3 linked regions of the Neurospora crassa OR74A genome follow. The protein of the gene in region 2 interacts with the protein of the main gene of each other region in a pairwise test. Links are inferred from orthologs where the notes say so. Each region holds a gene or a part of one and is shown on either strand. Other genes may lie near its edges.

Region 1 (3,935 bases), on a different chromosome or scaffold from region 2:
GCTCTCCTCTCCCAACAGTTCCTTACGAACAACCGAACCAACCCAGGTCTTCACAATTCAGTCCATTTCTCCACCCCATCCTTCCAATTAACCCAGCTCTCCTTCGCAACCTTCCACTTCCTCACCACCTACCTGACCGTCTTCCTCCTCTCGCGACCTCCCCTCTCGCTCTTTGTCCTCGCTCCATCTCTCCCCGAGACACTCCCCTCAGCGTGGCCATGTCCCTCGATGTGATCCTTCCTCATTGGCTAATAGCTTTTAATTCTGTAACCTTCTACCAAATCGCTTGGATCTTGCTCACGCCAATCGTGGCGTGACGAATCACGTTCTCTACCACTCCGTCTTACCCGAGAGAGCCATGTTGGCTTTGGTCCCAGCTTGTCGTGTGCGGGGTGTGGATAGTCAGTCATTATGATATCCTATCTTTTACCTCTTTCAACCAAAACCGTACCTGGTTCAGCAACAGATCAAACCCAAAAGCAAGTCGAAATCATAACCCTCTAGGGCATCCTCTTCTCACTTCTCGGCATCCTCGGCTCGTCCCTCTACACCATCTGGATCGCCCACTATCACCGCAACTCGGCGGCATCTCCAGCTTCTCTTGCCGATGATACTGAGCAGAATGGCTGAGATTTCGTTGCTGGGTTAGATATCCAGTGGCTATGCTCAAGGAGGAAGCCAAGAAGGCTGGTCATAAATCGTAGAAAGGGAGAGGAAACCGGCGGTACATGCACAGAAAATAGGTAGTCTTGAAGTACAGTCATAGTGACCTGATGTTGATGAATCATGCCTTCCTCCCAAACCCTTTTGTGAACCGATAACGCCACATACACACTTTGAACAAGACAAATACTCTCCAGTGCCAACAGAGACGATGGCATACTGAAAGAAGGGTATCACCAATACTACTATCATGATCAGCCCCCTTAGAGGTTGAAGCGCGTGCGAACCTTCTCCATCTTGGCCTTCCACTCCCACTTCAAAGCATCCTCTCCTTCGCTGCCAGCCCGACCGATACCCTTATCCACTCTACGAAGCTTGAGAGTGAATCCTATCAAAACAAGTCAGCCACTTTCGGTTCATTCGCCAAAACTTTTGTTTTCCGCGGTAGCAAGACTTACTGGGTCCAATCTCCTGCAAACCAGCACGGATACCCTGCATACCCTCCATCTCCTTGCCCTCCGCAGTAACCACGTTCTTCTCCGTCGTGCGGGCCTCGCGGAAGACGTAGCGGTGGCGGCGAAAGAAGATGTAATCACGCTGGTTGTGCAATGTCACGACCTGGCGACCCGAAAGCTCGGGCCTGGGAGGGAACATGGTGTGCATGGATTTAGCGGCGAGGATACCGAGAGGGGTCTTGAATCCATTGAGGAGAAGCTCGGGCTGTATTTTTTTTTTGGTTGCAATGCTTAGTCTCAATGTCCTGTAATTAATGGACTTGGGGATTAGGATGGACGGCTTACGTAGTGGTTTGTAGGGTTACCGTGGCCAAGGAGAGCCTTTCCAGGCAGGTAGTTCCGGATGGTGTATGTCAACGAAGGACCAGGGGCAACATCTTCGCCGTTGAGATGGATGACGGTCAGGGAGCTAGGCTTCTTGAGATCTTCGCCGACAATCATGAGAATCGTGTATCCACGGTCTGTAACAATTCAGGCCTGTGTTAGCAATTTTCTCTTGGGCAACAAAACTCCAACCTGGGTGCGCTACTCACTCTTGGCAAACTTTGCGATCTCGCGAACACTATACTTGTGTCCATACGCGTGCGCACTGCGTCTGATGTACGTGCTGTTGGGAAAGATGGCAGCAATGTCCTCCGCCTCCTTGTGAATGGTGCCGTTCAAATGGGTGGTGACCAGAATCTTGGGGTCGACTGGGGGTTCCTCGTTGAAGAGATTGGGAAATTGTCGTGTGAGCGAGTCGGGAGTCATGTCTAGATTTGTCGACGTGGTCGAGGGAGCGATGCTGGGTTTCCTCTGCGCACGCTCCTGTCTGAGTCTCTCGATGCGCTCCTCGGCATCTTCGTCGTCGTCGTCACCCTCCTCGTCCGAGTCCAACATAGAATCGGCATCGTCGTCCTTCTCCTCATCCTCCTCCGTGACTCCATCGGCTAGCCTGGCGGCCTCGGCCTCCTCCTTCTCCAAGCGCCTCCTCTTGAGCTCGGCAACATCCACAGCGACGCCCAGGCTGTCGTCGTCAACGTCATCCCACACGCGTTTCCTCTCAATGGTCAAGGGTTGGTTGTTTGCGAGGCGCTCTTCTCTGAGTTTGGGATCCTTGGCCTCCTCCTTCCTCCGGCGGTGACGCTCCTCATGGCGTTCCTTTCCCTGCTCCTTCTTTTGCTTGACGTATAATTGCTTTCTGACAATCTTGTTGGAGGTCTTGAGCGACAGCGATCCGCCGGAGCGGTTTTTGCCCTTGTTACCGGACGGCATATCGGCTACGATGTGGTAACACGGCGGTGGGATTAGTGGTTGTCGCGGTGTCAAAATTGTAGGGTAGGATCAATTCTCCAGGTCACAGTTCAAACTTCGACGTGATGCTGGGCAGTTGTTGCTACCTCTACCTGACGGATGAATTGAACGGGCCCGGTAAACTTTCAACTTTTTTTCTGGGCCCAGAGCCATCAAGGGCGCCAAGACGTGCATCTACAAGGGTACCCCAACAGCTAACGCACGGCCTCAGCCGGGGACAGGTACGTACCGCTACCCCTCAGTGTACACTACTACCTGACTGTCACCTGCACAGGATGACTCCATCCCGTCCCTTGCTGTAAGTTGGGACGGAAGCAGAATTTTTGGGATGAAGAACGGCGGCATCACGGACTCTTGATAATCAAATATCAATACCTCTAGCCGATGAAAAGTCACAATAACGCTAGCCAGCGGAATGCGCTTTCTGTAAGGGAGTTACTTAGGTAGGTAGAGGTAGTGTACAGTAGCATGTGCAGTTCCACTTCCTGATATGGCTGGTGGATTCCAGCGAGTCGAGCCTTCTGTCGCGTACCGCGCCGCCACTGACGGCGGCTCGAGAGCGGGAATCTGGACCGCTGTCCCTTGGCTTAGGTTGTCTGGGTCGTTGGTGCCGGCCCCTCCATGGCGCCCCTCTACCCCCCCAAAGAAAAAAATCATCCCGCGATTCGGTTGAAGTACGTGTTTCAATTGAAAAGGCCTCGACGAAACCTCAGTGGGCGACCGTGACTCACTTGGTTCCCTTGAGCACTGTAACAAGACCAATTCATGCGACCTCTTGCCCGTCTCGCCTCCCTCCGTTCTCCTGTTGCTGGTCAAGCATTCAAATCGACCTTATCCACCCGAGCCGTCGCCAGTCGAACTTCTTGGACCCCGGCGCCCATCCCGCGGATCTCTTCGACTTCGCTCCGATCCTTCTCCCTCTCTACCTCGCACCATCGCTTCCAAGTCTACGTCAAAAAACAAAACACCAAGATGACCTCGACGGCCACCACCCTCAAGGGCCAGCCCCTCGACAAGGGCGCTCTCGAGTCCATGCTGCGCCGCCGCATGTTCTTTGCGCCCTCCTTCGATATCTACGGCGGTGTTGCTGGCCTCTACGACTATGGCCCGCCCGGTTGTGCCCTCCAGGCCAACATCATCGACATCTGGCGCAAGCACTTTGTCCTCGAGGAGGACATGCTCGAGGTTGACTGCACCGCCCTGACCCCCCACGATGTTCTCAAGACCTCCGGCCACGTCGACAAGTTCGCCGACTGGATGTGCAAGGACCCCAAGAACGGCGACATTCTGCGCGCCGACCACTTCGTCGAGGACGTTCTCGAGGCCCGCCTCAAGGGCGACAAGGAGGCTCGCGGCCAGAAGGTAGAGGACAAGGAGGAGGACCCTAAGCGCAAGAAGAAGAAGGCCAAGGGTACCGAGGCTGTCAAGCTCGAGGACGCCGTCGTCAAGGAGTACGAGGAGATC
Region 2 (3,261 bases):
AATGGAAAGTCAGAGTGAGGTAGGTTTGGTTCTGTCGGTGACGAGGTGCTACGACCAGCAAGCACCCCTTGATCGGATCGCGAGATCGGGCGGTGGGAAGCTTCCTTGAGGTGGTTGTTGCGGGTAAGGGTATTTTTGCAATTAGCCGCGGTGTGTCGGTCAGGCACAGGCGTTGTGTTGTTTGGTTGGGAATTGAGGGTTTATTGGTGTCCCGCGATATAGGAAGGAAACCAAAAGTTCCCAAAGTTCTTTTCTTGTTTTCGTGGCCTTCTTTGAACGTGGAAGGTAAATTGATGGATTGATCGCCAGGAGAGATGCGAAAGGCGGCGTGGGTTCCAAGGGGCGTTTCATCACTGCGCGACCGTTACCTCCTGGCCTGAAGAGCCACTGCCCCACCTATAAATCACATACCAACCTTGACTTTACAGGGCCGCATGGCGAGCCTGTGACCGGGGTAGAGGTAATGCATGGATGCACTTTTGCTCCTCACATATCACAGGAACCGCAAAGTAGGTTAGTTCTCCAGATTGAACAGAGTTAAACATGAAAAGAGCTCTTGTTCTACGAGCCATGCAATCATTACATGACAGAATGTCAAGACCGGTGACCAATCTGCCAGATGCCAAGGTATCATCATCTAGTACATCAACAACAACAACAACAACAACCACGATAACAAATCTCCCACGTCCCTCTTTTAGAAAGCAAGCAACTTCTCCCTGTCCGTCTCGTGCTCCACCTCGATCTCCTTCTTTTTCCGTGCCTTCATCTTGGTGACCTTTCCTCTCTTCCTCTTGTCGCCAGCCTTTGTCTTCTTCTTGGTATCCTCCTCGCTGTCGCCCTCATCGTCGTCATCATCATCCTCGTCATCGTCGTCCTCCGCATCGTCCTCGTCATCGCTGCCGAGCCAATCCTCGATATCATTGAGCTCGTCGTCGGTCTCTTCGAAGTCGGACACGTACTCGACATTGCCGTCCTCGATCTCCTCCTCGAGCTCTTCCTCCTCCTCGTCCTCCTCATCCTCGTCCTCGATGCCCTCATCCAGATCCTTGTCGCGGGTACCCTCACCCTCCTTCTCAAGACCCTGCAGCACCTTCTTCCAGACAGACTCGGAGCAGTTGAGGGGCTGGTCGCCGTACATTCCTTGCCTGAGACGTTCCAGCAGCTCTCTCTCGATCGTCCTCTCCAGCTTGGCGGCAATGAGGGCCTTGCGCTCTCTGGCCTCTTCGCGGTGCTTGACCTTGGGCGCCATCTTGGGCACCAGCTTCTCGCCGAGACGGTCTTCCTCGGCGGCGAGTTTGCGCATGCGGGTCGCGACTTGTACGAGACGGGTGAGGCGCTGCTTGCACTTGTGGAGGAGGAATTTGGGGAAGTATTGAAGGCGATCCTCTATTTGCTGGAGGGCTTCGGCGTAGTTTTGCGACAACTTGATCTTTTCCCACCATTTGGAGGGCATGTGGGCTCTCTCAATCTGTAAGAAAGGGGAAGGGTGTGTCAGCTAGTTGGTCCCGGGGATCTGGTAGGTTTGCCACAAGGAGCGGATACGCACGGTCTTGATGTAAAGGTATATTGTGCCCTTGGGCGAGGTTCTGACGGTCGCATAACGGCTGTTGGCTAGGGGGCAGCTCTGCCTGTTGCAGAAGCCGCTGACGTTGTACTCATTTCTGCAAAAGTTGTTGCCCTTGGTTGTCTTGAGTTTGAAAGCACAGAACTGCTCTGTAGGGTCGAAGGTTAGCGACACTGCGGGGCAGGCAGGCCTTTTAACTTTCGAGAGACTGCGACATACGGTTGATGATCTGCCAGACGATTTCGTCAGACATGTTGACTGTGGTTGATCTGGCCGCCTTCTAATTGTCGGGGTATCTTCGAATTGGCGTTGTGGTGAAAAAGAAGGGTCAGCTTCTCGAAGAAGGGCGCAGGAGCAGGTCGTGTGTACGAGGAGATGGAGAAGACACGGGCGTGGCTGCGGTTGCCCGATAAAAATTTAGAAATGGATCTTTCTGAACTTTTGATGCAGTCGATGTGGTCCGTGCAATCGCTAGACATCCCAGCAGCTTTGGGGCTACAGCCAATCATCTTACAGCGATACCTTGAGAGTGGCTGCTCAAAGGTCTTGGCACTCGCTCTTGTTGCAGGGGGGGCTGTTTATTCAAGCTGCCATCGACGGAAGGTTCACCACGGCAGGGCATCTCTTTCTCAGTGACATCTCTCCGCTGAAGACATCACTTGTGTGAATTCATGTCTTTTGGTTGAGGTCAATGTTCCGCCATGCGATAAGACGAGCTGCTATCCACCGACCGGGAGGCTCTCGAGTCACTTCTTGTGCACTACGATCATGGCAGCAGCAGCCAACATCATGTCTTATCCGCATAGCAAGAAGCTATCATGAGTTTGGCCGTAGGGCGTCTGCCTTTGACGCCGTCTCTGGGAGTAAGGGTCAAGGTGGGAATCCTAGAGACTCGACTCTGCCCTTTCTCACCAACGACACCATCTATGCCCTTTCATCAGGGTCAGGAAGAGCTGGCATAGCCGTAATCCGTATTTCTGGACCCGGATGTCTTGATGTAAACAACCCCTCCCACGCCAAACATTCTCACTCGCTCCTGACATGACTAACACCAAGCAAAGGTCTACAACTCACTATGTCCCACCAAACTCATCCCCAAACCCAGATACGCCGCCGTGCGCACCCTGACCGAGCCCACCGAACCCGGCAACGATGTCTCATCACCATCAGCAGCTAACGCCAACAACGTCCTCGACACCGACGCTCTGGTCCTGTACTTCCCCGGTCCCAAAACCGTCACAGGCGAGGACGTCCTCGAGCTGCACGTGCACGGCGGCCCAGCCACCGTCAAGGCCGTTCTCTCCGCCATTCCCAAGTCCACTTCATCGAGTACCATCCGCTACGCCGAGCAAGGCGAGTTCACCAAGCGTGCCTTCCTCAACAACCGACTAGACCTCGCCCAAGTCGAAGCGCTCGGCGACACTCTCTCCGCGGAAACCGAGCAGCAGCGGCGGGCCGCCATCCGCGGCACCTCGGGAGTGTTGGGCAAGACGTACGAGTCCTGGCGTGAGCAGCTACTCCTGGCCCGGGGCGAGATCGAAGCCCTGATCGACTTTAGCGAAGACCAGCACTTTGACGAGTCGCCTACCGAGCTGCTGAGGAACGTGACCCGTCTCGTCAAAGAGATTTTGCATTCCATCAAGCTGCACGAGCTGGGCAGCCAGCGGAGTGAATTGCTTCGCAACGGCATCCGC
Region 3 (4,287 bases), on a different chromosome or scaffold from region 2:
TGAGAAAGACACTCCATGAATCGATATGACGATCGTCATCAGACAGCAAAAGATTTTTCACCTCACCAATTAAACTCGCATGAGGCTGAGGGGAAGCTACGGACATGCCTCGGTTTAATGTACAGCCGCCATGGTTCGGCAAGTCTGACCCGACTCGGTGAGACAGAGCTAGAGCAGAAAATAGAAAAGATGAAAAGAAAAGAAAAATGATGCAAAGGTCAGGATGGTCGGCTGAATGGAGGTCGAGGAGGGAAAACAGCTGATGGCCAACTGAAAGTTGGAAATGTCTTGGGAAGGTGCAGTGGAGGAGGCTCATTCTCCAAGTGTTATCACATAACAAATGCGACCGCCTGCTTTTAGATCTCCAAAGAAACTGAAGTAATACCACATTCCACTGTGATCATGATGGGTTTGGTCGACAAAAGTACCCGTTGGTATGGTGGTGGCTTTGTGTCTGCCAGCCGCCATTGAAATCACTTTCACAGCCATAAACTCGTAGATATCCAGAATCGTTTCAACAATAATAATTCTATGCCAAAGCTAACGTGTATACTCTCCAACAACCTACACCTAGAGTCTCGTAGACATAACAAGACAATCCCTTCCGACATCACCCTTTCACCAGCTATTTGATACTTTTGATGCTCTTCTCCAGTTCCTTCACACTCTCCCTCACCTTGGGGCAGTAATGTCTCCTCAACAGCTCGCCCTCCCACACCGTCGACGCGAATGGGTTGCTACCCTCCACTGTCGCCGCAAGTGGCTTATAAGTGCCGTCGCCCTTCCTCTCCTCCGTATTCCAGAGCGAGCTGATCTTCCTGCCGTGCGTGTGGAGCACGTCGGCGAGCAAGCCGAGAAGCGCCTGGGCTGACTTCTCCGGCACCTGGAGCGATCCGGACATGAGCTGCTTCGTGAAGGCGGCCAGACGGAGCGGCGCCACGGAGCGGATGTTCCAGGGCGGCAAGAGGATGCCGCTGAGACACTTGACGAGCAGGACGGTGGTGGTCTGCAAATTGATGCGGTTGTTGCGGCGCACGCTGTTTTGGAGCTGGAGCGACTGGGCGCCGAGTTCAAGATCCGGGTTAACGGAGAGAGAGAGGAGGGACTGGAAGAGGTGGGTGATGAAGAAGGAGAGATCGAGGTGAAGGTCCGAGCGGGCGTTATGGGCGTCTTGGCCCTCGAGAAGAGCAAAGGCGGTGACGGTGCAGAGGAGGGCTTCGCGGCTGGTGTCACGAACGAATTCGTGCTCGTCGTCTTCATCCTCTTCCTCTTCCTTGTTCTCGTCGTCCGACTCGTCCTCCTTGTTGGCGTCCTTTTCACTGTAGCGGATCAGGTCTTTTAGGGCCTCAAGGAGATCACCAAAAAAGTCCTGGTTAATCAGGTGGGAGTATCTGGCGAGACCTTCAAGACAGGCACCCATGAGGTTGGGAATACGCATCTTGAGGATGCGGAAGTACGAGGCGAAAACCATCTTGAGCGTTTCGGACTGCATCCGCTCTCGCTCCTCGTAGCTCACAGCTGCGTCGGCGTGGGCCATGACCTTTTCAGCCTCCTTCTGCTCCTTAAGAAGCTTGCGCTCACGCTTGGTGCGGAACTCCTTCTTCTGCTTCGGCTTCTTGACCGACCCATCGTCCTGCTTCTCCACCGTGTCTCTGGAAGCTTTTCCGGAAAACTCGCTAAGCAAACGCAGGTGGAGGAACAGGTTCAGGATGCTCTCGTCAACCTGGTAGTTACGAGCCTTCATCATCTTTGTGAGTACTGAAATGGCCTCCATGGCGGGTTGACCATCCTCATCCTCGTGAAACAGGGTCTCGAGAGCGGTCCGGCACTTGATAAAGTCTTTATCGATATTTCTGTAGCTCAGCTTCTTGATGAGAATCTTGAGAAGCTCACCGCGGAAGTTGAAGTGCGGTACTGCGTTCAAAAGGGTGCAGGCGCAGGTAAGGGCGATGCTGGAAATGGGCTGCTTGGACTTGTCGCGAATCGATCCACCGGCGAGGGCAGCAAGGGTCTTGATGTATTGGTAGTAGCCGGTCACCATGGCCTGTTCATAGACGCGTAGCCGCTTGACATCCTTGGACAGCTTCTCTTTGGCAACATCCTCCGAAGCCGGTCTTATCCTGTAGCCGGGAATGACATCCTTGTAGACGGTCATCTGGACAACAATGGCGAGCTTCTTGATGGCGAGAAGGTCCGACTCTCCAATCTTGGCGAGCGCCTTGAAAGCACCCGGATGCTCCTCTGGGTCTTCATTGAGCTGCGTTGCGATCTTGGCCATTTCCTCCTGGGCTCTCCTGATCTGTTCACGCTCGGGAATCTTGGGTGCTTCTGGCTCGGGCTGAGCCTCCTCCTCCTCAGGGGCCTCCTCCCCTTCACTCTCCAACCACTCGGCATCGCTCGCAATCTCGGCGTCTTCCTCTTCCTGCGTCACCCAGGTTCCCTCGGCAACTCTGATGGGCAGTTTCGTGGCATCGGCGACCTTCTTCTCCTTCTTCTTCTTTCCTTTCCTGGGGCGGTTCTCATAGTCCTCCTCGAGGTTCCAGCTCTGTGCACTCTTGAAGAACTGCTTTTGAATTTTGACGTCGCTGGTTGCTGCGCCGTCCGAGGACTGGCCTCCCTCGGTCAGCTTCCTCCGCTTGGAAGGATGGGAAGACATGGTGGTGGCTGGTGATGGTCTGTGCAGTTGGAGGGTTGTGAGATGATGTGAAGTGAACCTGAAACACTGAGTGTGGGCGGCTGATCGATGTGTGCTGAAGACAGACTGAAGTGAGACGGGAGCGAGCGGTGTTCTGGAGTGGAGATGGATGGGTATCGATTGTTTGTTCTTCACTGAGATGAGGAACCGCTCAGGAACATTTTCCAAACTTTTTGGACCCTGGCTGCCAAAGCTGGGGGTCTTATCGGCGGGATGTGGTTGGTTTAGCTTTCTTATCGGACCCCACCGCTTGGGGAAAAAAAAGTTGCTGAACCATGAACGGCCATCGATTGACTGCACTTTGAGTTTTGCGGTCGAGTTCAGTTGCTTGCGCTGGAGCTTCGAGTGGCCGCACCTCCTCCTCCAAGTTTGAATTCCCTTTCCTTCCATCCATCCAAATAGGAACCCACCGACGGGGCACTCTCCGAAAACATCAACCTCGTCGCAGCAAAGAGAGACCGCGGCACCTAATCTCTTTCTCGACCACTGTACACACATCCAACCTCCCGTAATCCCAGTCTCTACCCCACGATACACAATCGAGACTGCACTCTTCCCCGTCTCCCACCACGCGCCGAAAGGCCGATCGAATTCCCACTTTGCGACGCGATCGAAATATCGACGTCGACTCTCCTTGACGATAGTACCATACGATAACCATAAAGCCGAATCGTAGAAACCAACACCCAACCATGTCGTCTTTGGCCTCCCAGTTGGCCCAGATCGCTGCCAACTCGCGGTCGACCCTCAACACCAAGGTCCTCAAGGCCGCCCACTCCAAGTCCCTGATCTTCGAGCCCCGCGTTGCCGCTACCCAGACATACCCCGAGATCTACTCGATATGCCTCGAAGGCTTTGAGGAGCTGTGCAACCTTGATTCGCGCTTCACCAAGTTCACCCAGTCGCTATGGAGCCCACAAAGCCAGGAGGCCGACAGGACACAGATGAGCGCCGCTGAGAATGCCGCCCTCGATAAGCATGTCGAGGCCTTCCTCCACCTGTGCGGCAGCAGGTTGCGTCTCATGCCCACCATCAAGGCCATCGAGTGGTTGATCCGCCGGTTCCGCGTTCATGAGTTCAACACGGCTGCTCTCATCGCGACCTTCCTCCCATACCATACCATCCCGGCCTTTGTGACCTTGTTGTCCATCCTGCCCGCCAACATCCCCAAGGAGTACCGCTTCCTCGACCCCTACATCCGCTCTCTGACCGCGCCCCCTCGCGCCGCCATTGTTCAGCAAGCGACGAACCGCCCCGAGCTGCTTACCGCCATCTCCCAGTACACTCTTGACTCTTGCAAGTACCAGATGGAATACCCTGGCCTCATCTCCTTCTGGGGTGGTGTCATGGTTGAAGCCACCAACGGTCTGCTCGACAAGTACCGTTCCGGCAGGAGAAGCATCCAGATCGAGAACGACAACGCTCTCATGCAGCAGCTTGGCCCGGTCCTCAGCGATGCCATGGTCATGAAGAGCTCTCCCGGTCTCCAGATTGCCAGCTACATGGTTGTGACGATTCTGGCTGCCAAGGGCGGTCTTGCCGACAACGCTCTTACGGCCTTTATGGACCAGCTTGTCCACGGCTGGACGCCT

What was found.
Region 1: the proteins of NCU04150 (region 2) and NCU00404 interact in binary tests that used the Saccharomyces cerevisiae proteins (3 or more experiments, as listed by UniProt). The link is inferred for Neurospora crassa OR74A from reciprocal best matches to the Saccharomyces cerevisiae genes MAK16 and RPF1.
Region 3: the proteins of NCU04150 (region 2) and NCU00337 interact in binary tests that used the Saccharomyces cerevisiae proteins (3 or more experiments, as listed by UniProt). The link is inferred for Neurospora crassa OR74A from reciprocal best matches to the Saccharomyces cerevisiae genes MAK16 and NOC3.

What each region holds. Positions count from the first base shown.
Region 1 is NC_026503.1:3,739,815-3,743,749, forward strand, and holds NCU00404 (RNA processing factor 1), read right to left. Parts: upstream 2,571-3,935; 5' UTR 2,433-2,570; coding exon 1,712-2,432; intron 1,640-1,711; coding exon 1,464-1,639; intron 1,384-1,463; coding exon 1,122-1,383; intron 1,052-1,121; coding exon 927-1,051; 3' UTR 557-926; downstream 1-556. Other genes in the region: NCU00405 (glycyl-tRNA synthetase 1), read left to right, coding at 3,237-3,935. UniProt on the Saccharomyces cerevisiae protein: Essential protein. Required for biogenesis of the 60S ribosomal subunit.
Region 2 is NC_026505.1:5,007,524-5,010,784, reverse strand, and holds NCU04150 (66S preribosome component MAK16), read right to left. Parts: upstream 1,968-3,261; 5' UTR 1,821-1,967; coding exon 1,787-1,820; intron 1,717-1,786; coding exon 1,550-1,716; intron 1,472-1,549; coding exon 698-1,471; 3' UTR 514-697; downstream 1-513. Other genes in the region: NCU04149 (mitochondrial GTPase), read left to right, coding at 2,259-2,564, 2,629-3,261.
Region 3 is NC_026503.1:3,495,344-3,499,630, reverse strand, and holds NCU00337 (nuclear export protein Noc3), read right to left. Parts: upstream 2,822-4,287; 5' UTR 2,657-2,821; coding exon 626-2,656; 3' UTR 496-625; downstream 1-495. Other genes in the region: NCU00336 (U3 small nucleolar RNA-associated protein 10), read left to right, coding at 3,388-4,287. UniProt on the Saccharomyces cerevisiae protein: Required for synthesis of 60S ribosomal subunits and the transport of pre-ribosomes from the nucleoplasm to the cytoplasm. Also required for initiation of DNA replication.